Linked DNA regions of Caenorhabditis elegans. The protein of the gene in region 2 purifies or fractionates together with the protein of the main gene of each other region. This does not show direct contact. Each region holds a gene or a part of one and is shown on either strand. Other genes may lie near its edges.

Region 1 (5,240 bases), on a different chromosome or scaffold from region 2:
TTCAATTGAATTTCAGTAGTTTTCAGATGAATTTTTCGAATTTAATTGTGTCATTATGTTTAATTCGTATTTTACTTCATACAATCGACCCAATTTTTCGTTTTTTCCGCTTAGTTTTAAGAATTATCGTGAGAGAACGGATTGTTGGGCGAATGAAGCCGTTTCATATATGTTCTCGATGAAAACGATAATGTTAATAAGCTTTACATGTACTTTTCGGTTCTATACTTTCTCAATCCGTCTTTTCCTTATCTAACCAGCGTTTTTTTCAGGGTTTCGTCCGTTTCCGGGCCTCAGTGAGCGCGGGCAGATCGGAGAGTTCGAGATCGTCGAGAGAGAGTGAGAAGTTTAAGTAGCTCACACAGGTTTGTGTTGAAATCGAATTGCAAAGTGAAAAGTACAAATTTTGAAGGCAACACGATGCATGGAAGTCGAAGAATCACACCAATCACAACCAGAACAACACGGCTCACCGTATTGGAATCACGAAGCCAAAGATTTTCCTCTCCATAGAAGGAAGTCGACGCCAAGTTCATCAAGAACCTCCGCTTCGAGGTTAGATATAGATCCGGGGATCTTTCTTTATAATAATCCGAAAATCCCTAAAATCAAATTTCCGTTTCAGGTTCTCGACTTCCACAATGTAAAATTCCAAGACTACAACGTTCTGACCGATCAGGAGCTGAGAGAAGGCGTCAAAATCTTCAGCTAATGGCCAACAATTCCACAAGTCTATGTGAAGGGAGAGTTCGTCGGCGGATGTGATATTCTCATTTCAATGCACAAAGATGGAGAGATTTCCGACGAATATGGGAAACAATAAATGCTTTTTCATGTTAAAAATAAAAATTTAGATTTTTTTACTCGAATAAATCATCCAGATTGTATTATTTATTCAGCAAAAAGTGCTCGGTAGGTTGGTCGAAGACGAGTGAAGGGAATTAAATTTCAATAAATAAATGGGGCTCATTTTTACAATAAAATCAGTGAAAAGGGGGTAATTGATAAAAAATCGAAATGTATCCTTATTTCCACAACTTCTTAATGGACATATTCTTCTTCTTAATGGACATATTCTTCATTCTTCTCCGAATCCTTCTGCATAACCTTTCCAACAGCCATCTCGAAATCCTCTCGTGTCACATGAATACGTCGCTAACGGAGCGCAAACATACCAGCCTCGAAACAGACTGACTTGACTTCGGCTCCCGATGCTCCAGGAATTTGCTCGGTGTCGAGGATGTCGATACGGTTGGTTGCCATGATAACCTGAACATATATATTTAGAAATTAGAAAGTTTTTGCATTTTCCCTACCTTAATACTCTTCTTCGTTGCCTCAAATCCATCGAGTTGATTGATCAGCTCGAGCATAGTTCTCTGAACTTCCGAATCTCCTCCACTAGATTCTTTAACTCTGCTTGGTCCGATTGGATCGATTTAATCCATGAAAATGATCGATGGAGCATGCTCACGAGCCATCACGAAGACTTCATGCACCTGAAAGCATTGTAAATGTAAAGATTATTATGTCGATCCACTTACCATTCGTGTTTATTCTCCAATAAACTTCTGCACCAACTCGGAGCCGGAAACTCGAATAAATGTGCACTCAGTGTGATGAGCAACTGCACGAGCTAACAATGCTTTTCCAGTTCGTGGTGGTCCATAGACCAGTTTTCAACAAAAAATTAACTTTAAAAATGACAAAAAGTTATATTTTAAAGGAATGAAAGAAAATAAAATAAAAATCACAATCTCTCGTAAATCCTGCCCGCTTGTCTGCATTTGCGCGTCAATTTATGCGCCGCGTGTTTGCGGCCAATACACCGAAAAACACCGATGAGACAGCTTGACTACACGTGAGCGCCGAGAAGCTTTTGCTCTGTGAGCTTCAAATAGGAAGCTATAAACTTTCGATTTGAAGCCCAACGAGCAGCTTTTCGGCTCTGCTGGGGCGCAGAGTTGCGTTCGGTGGCAGAAACTGGAAAATTCTGAAATTTTCTAAACTAATTTTCGAATTTCCTGCCATTTTTACCCCTAAAATCAACTTTTTTCGAAATTTGGTTCATTTTCTTGTAAGCTACAGTTTTGACGTACTTTTAGAGCTACAGTACTCCAAAATTTTTTTCTAATTTTTAAAATGTTTTTTAGTAATTCAGAAACGCGAAAATGTTTCCAAAAATCAATTTGTCTATAAAAATTGCAGAAATTGAAAAAAACTAGAAGTTTTCTCTATATTTTTTCTAGAAAACCAGAAAATTCTTTTTTTTTTAATTTTTGTAGCAAAATTTCTTAGGAAAATCCAATTATTCACCGAAAAAAAAATTTTTAGGCCGTCTAAACGTCCTTTTCGAATTTTTTTTTCAGTTTTTCTCAATTTTTGCCAAAAAAAATTGGATTTTTCAGTCAAAAATTCAAATTTTCACCTTAAAATTGCACAAAACCGCCCCAGCAGCGCCGAGAAGCTTTTGCTCTGTGAGCTCCAAATAGGAAGCTATAAACTTCCGATTTGAAGCCCAAAGAGCAGCTTTTCGGCTCTGCTGGGGCGCTGAGTTGCGTTCGGAGCACCAAACTCGAAAATTTGAAATTTTCAGCGTAAAGTTTACCGAAAATATGTTTTTGAAAAAAAATTCCGATTTTTCTGATCAAAATTTCGAGTTTCCCGCCATTTTACGCCTAAAATTAATTTTTTTCAAAATTTGGAGCTTTTTGTCGTGTGCTCCTATTTTTTTTAATCCAATTTTAACAAAAAATCGATATTTTCTAAAAAAAAAAATCCAGTTTTTTTCAGCGCCAACAAAAAATGGTCGTAAAAGCCGCGGGACTTGTGATCTACCGGAAGTTGGCGGGAAAAATCGAGTTTCTCCTGCTTCAAGCCTCCTATCCACCACATCACTGGACCCCACCAAAAGGTCACGTGGATCCAGGAGAAGATGAATGGCAGGCGGCAATTCGTGAGACTAAGGAAGAAGCTAATATTACAAAAGAGCAACTGACAATTCATGAAGATTGTCATGAAACACTCTTTTATGAGGTGTGTGTGTGTGTGTAAGAAAATCGATAATTTTTATCGATTTTTTGATGGAAAAATCGATAATTTCCGGCGAAGTATGATATATTCAAAATTTTCGAATTTTTTAATGAAAAAATCGATAATTTAATTTCGATAATCAATAAATTATCGTTTTTCCGATGGAAAAATCGAAAAAATTAAAAATTAAATAATATCCTGCGAAAATCGATAATTTCGAATTTTTCGAATTTTTAATAAAAAATCGATTTAAAAAATTTCGAAAAAAAATCGATATTTTCGAAATTTTCGATTAAAAACCCGAAAAATCGATAATTTTGTGCGAATTTTCGAAAAAAAAATAAATTATCGATTTTTTAAATAGAAAATCGAAAATTTTTTTTGAATTTTTTTTTTTTTTGAATTTTTTTGAATTTTTTAAATGGAAAAATCGATAATTTATTTTAGAAAATCAACAAATTATCGATTTTTCTAAAACTAAATTTTCATTGAAAAATTTTTTGAAAAAAATCTCCGATTTTTCACCAAAAATTCAATTTTTCTGCAATTTTGCGGAAAAAAACACGAAAATATCGATTTTTTCGGAAAACTTATCCATTTTAAGCTTTTTTTGGGAAAATTCGGGATTTTTCGATTTTCTGATAGAAAAATCGATATTTACCGGCGAAAACGAAAGAAATTTCCTTTTTTCGTAAATTTTGTAAAAAAAATTGATTTTTTTTTCACAAGACCCTGAAAATTCAATTTTTTCCAGGTTTTTACACTGAAAAAAATTTTTTTTTTGGTTTTGTGAAATGTATCGATTTTTAGGAAAAATGGCAAAATTTCCGGGAAAATTCTGGAAAAAAACGCAATTTTTCCGAATTTTGAAAGAAAAAATCGATAAAAAATTGGGTTTTCAGCGAATTTACATATTTTTTAAATCGATTTTTCATTTGAAAATTGAACTAAACACTAAAAAAAATCCCAAATTTCGCTAAATTTACAGGCAAAAGGGAAGCCAAAATCAGTGAAATATTGGCTCGCCAAGCTCAACAATCCAGACGACGTTCAACTATCTCATGAACATCAAAATTGGAAATGGTGTGAATTGGAAGATGCTATCAAAATTGCCGATTACGCTGAAATGGGCAGCCTTCTCCGCAAATTTTCCGCTTTTTTGGCCGGATTTTAACGATTTTTCACCGATAATTTCATATTTTTCGAAAAAAAATAATTTTCATTTATTTATTTAATGTAAACTTTTTATTTAATATAAATCTTTTCATACACAATTGTTCATGATGCTCTCTCTTTATCAAAAATATAATGCTCGTAATTATTAATGAATGCGTGTTGTCTCAGAGCCTGATAAAACAGATTTTTTTTCGAAAATTTCAAAAAGTTTTTTAGGGTTCAGAGATCAATTTTGAGTCCTCTAACTGTCCTTTTTTTTAATTTAGGCAAAAAAATAATTTTTCTGAAAACGTACAAAACCATCAATATTTGAAAAAGGGCAATTTTTTAAGGTTTAGAGATCAATTTTGAGTCCTCTAACTTAAAAAATAACCATTTTAGAGAAGTTTCAAAATTGTGATTTTTGCCGTTTTTTTTGCCATTTTTGCCACTTTTTTCTAAATTCAGCATATATAAATGTTACTCCTCTGAAAAAATTAAAAAGTCGTTAACTCTTCCGATAAACCAAATATTTATATTATATTCAAAAAAAAACACATTTAAAACATCGAATCAAGTAGAAAGAATCCATTTAATTATCTAAAATGAGCCATTTCTGGGCAATATGTTGAGCTTTTGCATCACCAATTGGTTGACGAATTCGAACTTTCGCCGACAAGAGACCACCAACTGCTTTACGGCCGTCCTGAAACGAGAAAAATTAGAAAATTTTACGAAAAATCTAATTTTTTATCGGAAATTCGAAATTTTCCGTTAAAATCAGTACGTTTTTGAAAAAAAAAAAAAAAATTTTGCCCAAAGAAAAAAAAAAGTACAGTCATTAGATGGCTGAAAAATGAAAATGGGCAAAAATAAAAAGTTGTCTAAATTGATTGAAAACGGGTAATTAATATATGCAGAATTCAGAAAAACTAGGTTTAACCCGTCAAAAAACATTAAAAATGGCAAAAAAGTGGCAAAAATCACAATTTTGAAACTTCTCTAAAATGGTTCATTTTGAAGTTAGAGGACTCAAAATTGATCTACAAACA
Region 2 (6,188 bases):
AAAGTTATCTACAGAAAGTAAAAATATGTCTCTACATTCCGGTATAAAAATTACCATGCCGCGCTTCTCTTCCCCTGATCACTTACCACAAGTTTAAAACCTTCAGATTGGTTTGCATCAGAAGATGTGGCTGATGTTGATGACGTCAACGACCTCTCATTTTTTCGCTTCGATTTGATGAACATTTCGGATTCAATCGTTTTATTCCGATTACCGTACATTTCGGTTTAGATTTGAAAGAAAAATAGTAGAAAATGACGAATTCTTTCAATTACTCTTCGTTTTTATTGGTGAAACGTAGATTGATTGGGGGTGGGGGGGGGGGGTATATATTTTTTATATATTATTTTTAGAGAGTTCACGGTATTTAGATTGTTCAAATATTGTTCATTCCTGAAAAAAATTCCACGAAAATGAAAGTGCCAGAAGAAATCCAAACGGAAATGATGGCTGACATGCTTCGTGAAAAAATGAAGAATCACAAAAAATCGAAACCAAGTGGGAAAAAGAAGGAGAAAAACGAACAAATCGTTGCAAAAGCTGATAAAGTAAGTTTTGCTACTTTTCGCAGAAAGATGGTCTTTGCACGAGTCAAACTTTTCAATCTACCGTACCGTTCTCGTCTTATTATAGAGACGCATAAAAATGCGTTTATTGAATCGCGCTCCACGGCCAGTTGGACACACTCCGCCCCCAAATGTTGGGTCTCGTGAGGTATTCACGGCAAATCCGTACATTCAAACTTTTTCAATTATTTTTTCCTGATTTCACCCGTCTTCAAGCAAAACGTTTGAATTCAGTTTTGCCGCCGTACCTAACGAGACCCAACGCCTGAGGGCGGAGCGTTTCTATTTGGCATTGGAGCGCGATTTCAAAAAGCGAATTTTTCAATTTTTGCAAATGTGTCAATTTTCAGCCGACTTCTGTTCAAAATCCAGCAAGAACACTCGTTCAGATTCAGGAAATTCTTGCGGAAAATTCAAATAATGATGATCTGAGCAAGTCGATGGATTTATTGATTCCCGTGATGCTTGGGGTAAATTTTAAAATAAATTTTGTATTTAAGTCAACTTTCTTGAAGATGTTATTCTGCTCTCCCCATCCCAAAGTCCGTGACCAGGCGATTGAGTGCCTCCGAACTATAGATCAAAAAATGGGAAAATCAATTATCGAAAAGCATGTGAAGAGGATGTCGAATGAGAAGAGAACTGTTATAGCGTCTTTGATTTGAAAATTTTCATGCTAAAAAATCGATGTTTCTGACATTTGAAGTCATAAAAATAGAATCAAGAAATCGTTTGAAATATCATAAAACAAAAAAAAAAGACAATGATCATGGATAGAGCGAGAAAATCAAATTCTTTGATGAAGAAGGAAATAAACCTTAACTTAACATGTGAAAAACCGTAAAATAAGAGGGAAAACAGACGGAAAGGGGATGGATATTTTTGTATTCGTACATGATTTTAATATGGGGGATTCTTTTAAAGGAACGATTATATTTTGTTTGCAGAGAAAGACGGTAAAGATCGATGCCTAAAGCGAGGTGTGGATGGAACAAAATTTTTGGCGATTGGAGGGCGGGGAGGTACTACTGTATCTTAATATTATAGCTACAGTAACCCCCGAAAATTTCACAAATGATAATTGTGGTTTTTTTTTGAATATTGATAAGGATAAGGATGCACTACACAAAGCCACTCACAAAGAAATAAAACATTGGAATAAAAACATATGGATTGTGAGAATTAAATAAAATATTTTTTGTCACATTCCGTAATCAGACACGAAGTTCTTGTATCTGCTTGATGAGATACGCCTTTTCGTCATTGAATTGCTCGTCGTTAGTTCGATCATTGTGAAATGCAGTGAGAAATTCTACGAGTTTATCACGATTTCTTGTCAAAATATCAGTGATTGGACGTGGCTTGTTTGGATTCGCGACGAAGATCTGAAATTATGGGGTTTTATAGATTTTTTTTGGAAATTTTCTTAAATTTCTTGGAATAAAACGTAAAGATGTAAAATTAATAAACTTATTCTTCTTAAAATTCAATTTAAGACTTTTTTTCATCTTCAACCATTTTTCAAGATGTTTGATTCACATACAATAACTTGTTTTATTTTCAATCCAAATATTTATCTGAAATATCAAAAGAAATACCTTAAAAACGTGGAAAGCCTCGTACTGGATATTCCGTCTCTTGTCTCTCAACAATTCCATCACTGTTTTCAGATTCTCTGGACTTGTGATATATTTGTTCATTGTGCTGAAATTATGTCGATCGAGGAGAAGCTCGCCGAGCAGTTTCAGCGATTGGCGTCGGGTCACGTAGTTTTCTGAGTTTGTGAGCGCCGAGTATTGGCCTGTAATAACATAATTTTTTATTTAATATATCAAAAGTTCTCACCGAAAAATCGATCGTAATTATTATCCAAATACTCTGCACACATATTCTTATGTTTTGTCATCAAATCTTTGAATGTAGAAAATGCATCAGTGGCGATATCGAAAACGTCAGATTGAACAAAAACGAAGAACCGTTGGAAATATTCAGAATAGAGAACAATTCGAGCAAGATGCTCATGGCGGACAGCTTCACGGAGCATCGAACCGCATGTCAGGGCAATATCTGGTTGCTCGTATCTAGAGAATTTTTTTTTTTTGGATAACTTTTAGACTTTGAACTAACCCAAGAAGAAGAGTGATGAGAATTTCTGGTCTTGCAGCCAAGTATTCCACAGTTGGTGATCTTGTTCCAATTTGACGACGGAGCAAATTATTGAACACCTAAAATTATCATTTATTCATTTAAAAAATATAAAATTTTCAGAGCTTGATATCAACCAGACGCCAATATACGGTACTCGGTCTCGACATGACGAATTCAATTGTTTTTAATGCAGAGGGGTGTGTGCCTTTAAGGAGTACTGTATTTTCAAACTTTTGTTGCTGCGAAATTTTCATATCTAGTTTTTATCACGAATTTGAGTGTTTTTAATTTTTTTAAAAATAATTATAAGTATATTTTCATCGAAACTTGTTAAATTTTTACATTTCGCAAAAACGTATCGTGCCAAGACCGCGTACCGTATTTTTGGTGCGAAAGTTGCAACATTTCGTGACTGCGTTATATAATTTTTGATTTTTAGAATCCACATACCGATGCCACATCCTTCTTACATTCGAATTCAAATTTGTGCAAATGTTTAATGAGCATCGGGAGCACATTTGCGTTATAAACTTCCTGAGCCAACTGGGTCACTTGCTCATTGTTCGGCTCGTTTGCGTCTGATCCGTAAATGAACGTTTTTGCCAATGCCAACATTTTCGCTGTTTCTTCGATAGCTTTTTCGACTTTCCGCTCACTTGTGTTGGTTCCATGCTGGAAAATTTAAAATAAATAAAAATGATATTTAAAAAAAGAATCTCACTCGATCAATAACCAGCAATGCATCCCGCAGATTCTTCACCACGTCGGCGGGTGTTTTGTCCGCTTTTCCGAACAACGGCTTCAACATAACTGGAATTCTCTTTGAAAAAATCAATAATCTGAAAGACTCGTCAAAAGTATGTTCGATTGTTTTTAAAACAAGTGGATTAAACGATTAAAAATAGAAAAATACGACGGAAGGGAAACATTTTCTTTTTTATTCTTTCACATGTGTGGAAAAATTTGGGAAACCGGTCATGCAAATCGAGGAAAATCGCAGAGGAGAAAGAATTGAGTGTAAAGTAACAAACAACAACTGAGATTTCTAACAAGTCAAAATTCAAATATTCAACAATGAAAAAACAAAAACTGAAAAATTTTTTAAATAAATTTAGAAAAGCATTTAATATTATTTTTCTTCGCTTCTCTCTTCATCTTTCCGCCTCAAATAATCAGCCTGTTTCCCATCGACAAAATGTTTTGTATGGAAAAACCAATAAAGAAGATCATCGAATTCTCCACTATATTTCCGTCCGAGACCCAATTCTTGATATTCTCTAAGCGAATAATAAATTGCTTCGATCGTGGCGAGACCCGTTTCGGGAACGTTGTGTTGAGGCCGCCAGAATGCAGTACGGTATGATTGAAGAGATACGTGTTGGAGTCCTTAAAAATCTGATTATTATTATTACGATTTAAGATTTTAATTAGTATATACCTTGAATTTGAGGTGTCTTCTGCATAACACCAACTTGAAACCACGTGCAATCTAATACAACAATTCGTTTGATCGGTCCTCTTGTTTTTACAAATTCCTCAACAGAAATTGCAGATTTACTCGGAAAAATGATTGCAGTTCCTTGCCGTTCATCTTCAGAATCTTGTGAATAATCATGAACATTTGGATAATCAAAGACTCGAGTTTGATCAGGAGCCACAATTTTACAGTGAAGAGCACTGCTTTTACTATTTTTCTCCATTGGATGCTTGACGATGTCGACGGCACAGGGAAGCTTTACAGTTGGCGTAAAAACTCCGGGCATAGGAGTTCGACAATCATAACAGAAATATTTTCGATTTGATTTGCATCCTGGACACGTAGATTTCACACAATTTTCAATGGGATCGAAGCTCGAGAGTTGGACCTGATGCTCGCTGATAACTGACATGGGAACTCTGTAAATAATGTCTTGAAAATCTGAAAACTTAAAATATAATTAATATAGAACAAGGCTCTCAACCTTTCAGATTAGCAAAAAAAACAGTTTAATACATGTTCGGAGAAGATTTTAATAAATAAGGACTAAAAAACAATAAATAATACAACCATAGAATCAAGAAATATAAAATCATTAAATATCCCGTGTTAAATGAGCGAAAATCATCACAATTTGTATACATCTCGTTGGCTAAAAATAAAAAAATAACTATAATTATGCGACTGGAAGTGTTTCTTTGATAGCATTCACATCCACGATGGCATCTCCAACCATTTCGTCGAGTTCTGAATTTTTACATTTTTAAGACACAAATTTCTAATAGAAATATTATTACCTTCTAATACTACGTGGAAACCGAAATGGAGATAGATGATCAGCAATAAGTGAGCTGCAATTGCGATTCCAATAAGTAAAAGTCGATTCGCGGGAAGACGAGACTGATTGCACACTATTAGGCCCTGAATTTCAAAATTTTTATTTATTTTTTCAGTTTTATTTTAAGCTAACCATTCTTAACGCTGAAGGTACACAGAAACTGGCGAGGAGCACGAAGAAGAATAAATGATCATGAGATGAGTGAAAAAGCGAGGTTAACAGAAGTACGAGGCATTGTGAAGTTAGAGAATAGCCCTGAAAACAATTATTCTTGGTGTTCTATTTATTTTTTTTAACTTACAAAGCTCGACAATATCGTTAAAAATGGTTGCTCAGCAGCTAACAAAAAGCACGCAATCCAAAGTGCTCCAGAAATGAGCATCCAGCTACCAAAGCATGTGAACATTGCCGTACCCATTAACGTTCCATTTTGAATTACAATTCTGAAATCATTTTTATTTTATTTGAAATTTTGATTTTTTACTAAAAACAGATAAAAATAAACACGAACCCGCTGGTTTTCATGTTATACAGCAATAGCGCCACCATGGTGAGTACGAGCATAGTCGGGCCATATAAATCCGGTGAAACTTGTATTTGCGATGGTTTTCGTGGGATAAATGACCGAATAAGACGAGTTCGGACCTATAAATACATGTTTAAAGCTTAATTGTGAATTTTTCTTCAAACCTCTGCTGGATCGACATCGAAATAAGGGCGAAACAAATCGATACGACCATAAGATTGAAATGTGTCTTGAACCTGTTTTGATCCAGCTTCCCACATCTGAATTTTTGAAAATCAAAAATGCTTTAATGCAATCAAGGTTCTTTTCAAGAAACCGAAACTTTTTTGAATTATTTTTTTTCGTTTTATATTCTAAATTAAATTAATTTTAAAAAAACAAACCATCTTTCCCAATTGCGCTTGCATTCCAAATTGTGGATTCTGTTCATCGGGGCTTCCTCCAGCATTACTGTTCGATCGTTGTCGAGTATTTTCCGTTTCCTGGCCGTAATACGTTGGTTCCATCACTGGAATATATTTCAATAATTTCAATTTAAAGTCTGCTATTAATAAAAATTAAAAATCAGATAAAAATATATAAAAATAAACATTTTCACAGCAAAAAAATGATTGAGAAATCAATTCAGTGACG
Region 3 (6,227 bases), on a different chromosome or scaffold from region 2:
TTCTACGATTTACGAATTTTATAATTTTGTTTTTATTCGTGTAAAAAATTCTAGGAGTGGAACATGTGACATTGCTTTTTATTTTCTTAAAAGATTGTATTGTTTAAAAATTTGGCAATCCGCCAAAATTTTGACTGGAAGTTTAAGACAACAAAATCTTTAACAAGATCCCCACTTGCACGTTTTTCTCAATTTGCATATAGGGCAATTGAACATTTTCGAATTTTAATTTCAAGCTCTTTTGATCAGCATGTACTTTGAATATCTCCATGTGTTCACTTCGGAAACGTACTTTGAACTGATCCGTCTTTCATGTTTTTAAAAGTCACGTTAATATGAACATTTGATCTGTTGAACTAATTTTCTGCAAACATACGGATAAACCTATATTTCTTGTTTTATTTAGAGAACTACACTGAACTAAGACATCAAAAAACAATCTTGATAAGTTTAAACGAGATCCTTCGTTTTCTGCTTTAAAATATTCAAAAAAAAGTTACCTGACTATGAGTTTTATTTTTGATTATTCTTCTTTCTACAATTTAACAAAACAATTTCTGAAAATACGTTTAACATTTTTTCAATGTAGTTACGCGGCTCATTTAATAACTTTTTCATCAGCGTCCATTTTTCAAATGAATTTTTTTCTAGAAAAAAAAATTACAGTTGTTGTGCCGTAATAATTTTTTCTTGAGCAAAGAATAGCCCAACAACTGTTTCAGTTGCATATTTCGAGCTAGAAAAGTCCACCGCAGTTTAGTTTTGAAGCCTTCGATTATCGTATTTTAGCGTTTTGTAGCATATTCCACATAAAGCACGAAACTAAACTGGAACATTTGTGAAATCATCAATCAAGTCATTTTTGGGTACACATCATGTCTGCGGAGACATTGAGCGAATTCAAATAGACCAAGTCATCATTCCGATTCATTTGTGAAAATTCGTTTTCTGCTAGAACTGTGATCACTCTATTTTTAAATTCTATTCGCATCAAATTTCAATCACAAATATACTTTGTTGCTTGCTGCATTTAACACATTTTTATGGGGTGAACAGGACACTATCAGAAATCAACAAGTATCTAGTATGGTCGAAGACTTTGTTTCGGTGCAGTTTTCTGAACATATTTCTTTTAGGAGGGAAAATGAATATAAAAGATATTGATATCACATAGGCATCAATAATCAATGCTATGAGAAGACACGTTTAAAGTAGGGGGCCGGCAATTTGTCTGGGTGGAAAACCAACACAGAAGAAAAGGACAGAAGAGATGAAAGGTCGTTTAATATACATTACATATCATTGTGAAAAACAAAAGAACTACAAATACTTTTTCTTATTTATTACAACCTGAATTAGAATGTGAATTGAAGGGCGGTTCGAATGGGCAAGAAAACAAACGTCAAAACACACATATTAACGCGGACAACAATATGCAAAAAACTCGTTATGTTCACAAGTATGACTGCTTGGACAGAATCTATCGGAACATGATTTTCCGAGCATTGCACTCGACCAATCGTCCTGTTTCGTTTGCAAAGCTTCTTTCTTGTTTTTGCATAATGGTTTGAATGCTGCTTGGTAGCGATCTGGAAACTTTGTGTTTTGGTTGTCGCTAATATGATTACTTACTTGTCAAGTTCTCCTCGCAGCAAATACCAAAGAATGCTCCCATAGAACAAATATATCCCTTTGGACAACCATCAGAGGTTAGTTTTGGGCCTGGAGTTGTAGTAGTCTTGAAGCCTGAAAAATATGAAGCAATATTTCAGTTAGTTTTTTTAATGTTCATTATTACTTTAATAAAGTTTTAAACTAACTAATACTCGTTTTTAAAACATTGTATTTCTAACGTTTAAACAGCTCAGATCCGAAAAACAGGATCCTTTAAATGAAATAAAAAATAACATTTTATAAACCGGAATTGTAAGTTTCGTTTTTCACCACAAAAATTTGTAGCTAATTTTCAAATATTATTTATGCAGTAGAAAGTTCGAAAGTTTTATTAAAAAACCATCAATCTCAAAACATACCTGGTGGACCATCTGGGCCTTCTGGGCAAGAATACCATTGTCCATTCGACTTTCTAGCTGGTTGTGATTGCATTGCACAACTGAAGTAGTCTTCTGAAATAAAACTGCATTCAATTATCGTATTTGATTTTTGAGTTAAAAATTGAATTTTTGAGTTAAAAATTGAATACGTCAATGAGGGGCTCAGAGTTTTCAAACTTTTGGGTCAAAAATGTATGAAACATTTTACAATTTTTGGTACCATAGGCCTACTTGTGATCATTTTCCTTGGTGAACGTCACTTATATTCATGAAAACAATACGTGGATAACTTACGCAAGACACAGTCAAAATAGCATTCACTACTTGTTCTATAGGAGTTCTGATTTCCACCACAGCCTTTGTGTTCGAATGGGAAACATTGGAAGGTTTCAACGTCAAACCAGTACTAAAAAAAATATTTGCCCGATTTTTTATTAGGTTTAAAATCAACTTACTCTTATCGAAGTTTTATTTTGATTGCATGTATGTCCAGCATTTCTGTTACTTGCACACCATGGTTTTCCAATCGGTTGATCATTTTTCGGTTTGGCAGGATCTGGTTTTTCAAAAGCGGGGAATGCTGACGAATCGATGGAGAAATCTGAAATTATCGAATTATTTTAAATTATTCATGATTTTGAACTACCAATTTGCATGCAATTCATCTTTGTTGTGTTACTCAATGGTTTTCGTGTCCCTTGTATTTCTCTTCCAGTATTTGTGTCCACGCAGTAGCATTGGTTCTTCTTACTGTCACATTGTACAGGCTCAAAATCACCTTAAATACTTATATTTTATCTTTAGCATTATTTTTTCATACCTTTTCCGACGTCACATTTTGGTACGAAACTATTTTCTGGAGGATCTCCGTCGGCAAACAGCTTTTGGAGGTAAACAAGGCAAGCTGAAACGATAAACGTCACTTTTGGGAAAACTTAGGAAATTGAATGGTCTCTACTTACTTCCACATTTTGGCGCGGTTTTCGGATTGTTGGTTCGTGTGTCGTATGCAACAAGTGCAGTGTGAGGAGTAACACAATAACATGATTCAGAGTTACATTGTACAGTTTCATAGTATCCTAAAATTATGAATAAATTAATATAATTTAAAGTTTAGAATCACCATTTTCATTGCATTTTAGTCCATCATCATTCAACGTGCATGGTCCAGTTTTTGGGTTTCTGTAATAAAATATTACATTTTTATAATAAATTTGAAATAAGCAAAGTAATGTTGAAAAATTAAAATTTCCACCAGTTGCTTCAACACTTTATTAATATAAAATTCTTAAACAAAACTGTTATTTTTTTAATAGTGGACACCGAACTGTTGAAAAATATTTTCACTTACTAGGGTTCTAATTATTTCAAAATTGGTTTTTCATAAATTGTGCCTAACAATTTTTGTTCCAAAGAACTAACCTGGCTCGTAATAATCTGTCTCCAAACAGAGCATTGACTTGGGTGAATCCAACAAGTAATATTATGCAGAAAGCTCGCATGCCGGAAATCAAAAAATTGCGTTCGAAGGAATGATTGAAACGAGGAAATGAATGAAGGTAAATAATAACTAGTTAGTGAAACAAACATTATTTGATTTTCGAGAACAAAAAATAGTAAGAGCTATGAGTTGATCATTGAGTGATCTATTGTATTTGGGAATTACTGGCTTTTGGTTATTTTCATCACTCGCCGATGAAATTTTATGTAAGTTATTTTTATGTACATAAATTCTGTGCATATGAAATAGGTGAATCAAAAAGTGTTCACAAATATTTGGAAACATTAACAAAAATATTTCAAATAAAGGAAAAATTCGAGAAAAAAATAATTTTCTTAGGATATGAAAGCCAAGTTATATTCTTTCTTCTCTCCGAAGATTCAAAAAATCAAGAAAGATTAAAAATTGAAACAGTATCTTTTTTCAAAAGAAAAAACTAAGCAGTATCAGTGCTAGTTGAGAACAAGAAAAGGAATCAATTGCTGAACGAATCTTTGTTCGACGAAAAACGAAAAAAAAGGTTTACTTCCTTTTTATCATATTATGTCAACTACTAGAATGCAATGATCAATCGATAAAACTGGTACATTCTCTTATTCTCTTTGGATTCGTTTTTACACCAATAAATTTGGTTTGACTAACAGAATTACCTTTAGTTGAAAAAACATTTATTCGGGAAAAGAAGTGAATCATCAGAAAATAACCCGTTTTTGTCGGAATATTTTTTTAAATAAATAAAGTTCAAACTAATAACTAGACATAAAATAAGAAAATAAAATGAAGAATAGTAGAGACACAGGCCAGAAAGTGATTGGAGAAGAGTTACACAGATCAGTATTACAGCAACAGACTTTACTTTGTTTCGAAGTGACCACGCATTCGTCTTTCTGAAAAAAAGAAAACATTGAGAAAAGATTAAAAGAATAGAAAAGTCTAGAAGTTTCTATGGAAATCACTGGAAGAAAACGTTACTCACGAGTTTTTAGAATAAGAAAACAACAAAACGTTCTAGAATGAATTTCTATCACTAAGAATCATAAATTATACTTTTGAGAAACAATACGGGAATCGAGCTTCAAGTATAACATATAGGAATGTATTTTTCTAATATTTTTTTCAAAGACCGGAACCATTGTTAAGTGTCAGACGATAGAAAAATACGCTGTTTTTAAATTTAAGTTTAAATAATCCTTATTGTGATTTTTATTCACTGTTGGTCATTTTTTGGCAAATTGACAATACATACATTTAGATAAAACCGGCATTGACCCCACTCATTTTCTACAAGCGAAAGTGTATTCCGTTATTTTTCCATAGTTACAGTATGTAGCATTGGGCTTTGTCCGCTACATATGGGTTTTGTCCGCTTCTAGTATTTGTTTTCTGTTAAAGTTGACATTGCTCTTTCAATGAGTATGGTTTTTATAATTAATTTCCAGAAAATCTACACCAGGGCTGCGCCACATTCAATCTTTTCGACAATTTTTTTTCTGATTTTCACTTTGCACATTTGTTCTTTCAATTTCAAACTCGTTTTGTTCGCTCACTTTGCAAAACGGCGTAAAGTCATCACATCCGTAAGTAGCTCCGCCAGTTGGCTCTGTCGTTCTGCAAAATGAAAATTCCAATAAACTTGCTGCCTTTTCTTTTTCTTCTTTCAACCCACTTTATGCAATATTCTGTCTGACAAAGACGTTGTTTGAACGGCCTTCCATCTCCCGAGAACCCTAAAGAATCACTCGTCACGCACACGAAATGCTCTTCTGCTCATTCAACGTACCTTTAAAACACTTCACAGTAGTATCTGCAGAAGGCGGCAAAATGAAAAAGAAAATGAAAAGACAGATAATGACAGGGTGCACGCTCATAATTGTTTCCGTTCACTTGGTTTAATACGGAGTTCAACTGAAATTTAACTTTTTAGGAGTGTCATTTCCACAGAGTTTGAGATGAAGAGTTGAATTTAAAAGGAATAAGTAAATATAGTTTTAGATCAAACAAAATAAGAACAAACACTAATTCCATTAGTGTGAAGGAATTGGTTCAAGTTTTGGTTAGTTGTTGGCAATTTGTTTGAACTGTATGGTTTTTATGATGCGGATATTTTGTAATTTGAAAACCTGCTTTATTCAGGTCTCTTCACTTTATAAATGTTTCTAATTTGAATTTTCAAAACCCCTTGCAATATCACATATAGAATTCATTTTGAGAATTTTGTCCGCCTATAATATTGACATGCTGTCAAAGTTTCCTAGGATACTAGTTTTTACTTTTTTTTTTTCTTAATTTTTTTCTTTTCTTAGAAACTCTTAATCAAATGTATGATAGTCGGATATGAAGGAGTTATGAGCAAATGTTTGTAAAAAATTAAAGTTGAAACGAATAGATGCAGAAAAATAGGTTTAAAACTTGTTCAAAATATTTGCAGTTTCAAACTCGAAACAAAAAACCCAGAAATAGAAAAAAAAAGAATTCCAACACCTCCTCGTCTTCTTTTTTCTCTTTTTCTTTCTGGATTGTACTCTGTGATGAATTCATTGAACTGAAAACAATGTGAATAATGGATTAAAAAACGAGCCTCCCGGTTTTGTAAAAAGAGAAAAAAAAGAGGTTAGAAATTGCAACCAAAAAATGAGTGAAGCACCCAGGGGTTAAAGATGTTTTGTTTTGAT

The links.
Region 1: the proteins of mop-25.2 (region 2) and ndx-4 fractionate together in Caenorhabditis elegans (co-fractionation; one large-scale study listed by BioGRID). This does not show direct contact.
Region 3: the proteins of mop-25.2 (region 2) and B0222.5 fractionate together in Caenorhabditis elegans (co-fractionation; one large-scale study listed by BioGRID). This does not show direct contact.

The regions. Positions count from the first base shown.
Region 1 is NC_003279.8:13,791,706-13,796,945, reverse strand, and holds ndx-4 (Bis(5'-nucleosyl)-tetraphosphatase [asymmetrical]), read left to right. Parts: upstream 1-2,793; 5' UTR 2,794-2,805; coding exon 2,806-3,036; intron 3,037-4,021; coding exon 4,022-4,207; 3' UTR 4,208-4,307; downstream 4,308-5,240. Other genes in the region: Y37H9A.5 (uncharacterized protein), read left to right, coding at 425-555, 626-647; ccct-1 (Coiled-coil and C2 domain-containing protein 1-like), read right to left, coding at 4,781-4,894. UniProt on the Caenorhabditis elegans protein: Asymmetrically hydrolyzes Ap4A to yield AMP and ATP.
Region 2 is NC_003280.10:9,700,178-9,706,365, forward strand, and holds mop-25.2 (MO25-like protein 2), read right to left. Parts: upstream 3,525-6,188; 5' UTR 3,523-3,524; coding exon 3,436-3,522; intron 3,387-3,435; coding exon 3,165-3,386; intron 2,792-3,164; coding exon 2,694-2,791; intron 2,648-2,693; coding exon 2,412-2,647; intron 2,368-2,411; coding exon 2,165-2,367; intron 1,952-2,164; coding exon 1,781-1,951; 3' UTR 1,232-1,780; downstream 1-1,231. Other genes in the region: Y53C12A.8 (uncharacterized protein), read right to left, coding at 87-221; Y53C12A.7 (HEAT repeat-containing protein), read left to right, coding at 414-548, 917-1,036, 1,082-1,231; Y53C12A.10 (tRNA-uridine aminocarboxypropyltransferase 1), read right to left, coding at 3,844-4,100, 4,153-4,603; Y53C12A.3 (Protein YIPF), read right to left, coding at 4,868-4,938, 4,989-5,112, 5,162-5,284, 5,331-5,472, 5,541-5,674, 5,720-5,815, 5,939-6,061. UniProt on the Caenorhabditis elegans protein: Regulates asymmetric cell division in Q.p neuroblast lineage. Plays a role in cell shedding during embryogenesis.
Region 3 is NC_003283.11:9,151,314-9,157,540, forward strand, and holds B0222.5 (BPTI/Kunitz inhibitor domain-containing protein), read right to left. Parts: upstream 3,560-6,227; 5' UTR 3,557-3,559; coding exon 3,477-3,556; intron 3,237-3,476; coding exon 3,178-3,236; intron 3,134-3,177; coding exon 3,017-3,133; intron 2,959-3,016; coding exon 2,875-2,958; intron 2,833-2,874; coding exon 2,701-2,832; intron 2,656-2,700; coding exon 2,510-2,655; intron 2,461-2,509; coding exon 2,349-2,460; intron 2,127-2,348; coding exon 2,034-2,126; intron 1,747-2,033; coding exon 1,633-1,746; intron 1,590-1,632; coding exon 1,417-1,589; 3' UTR 1,008-1,416; downstream 1-1,007. Other genes in the region: B0222.15 (Activin_recp domain-containing protein), read right to left, coding at 4,302-4,442, 5,103-5,163, 5,222-5,282, 5,336-5,423.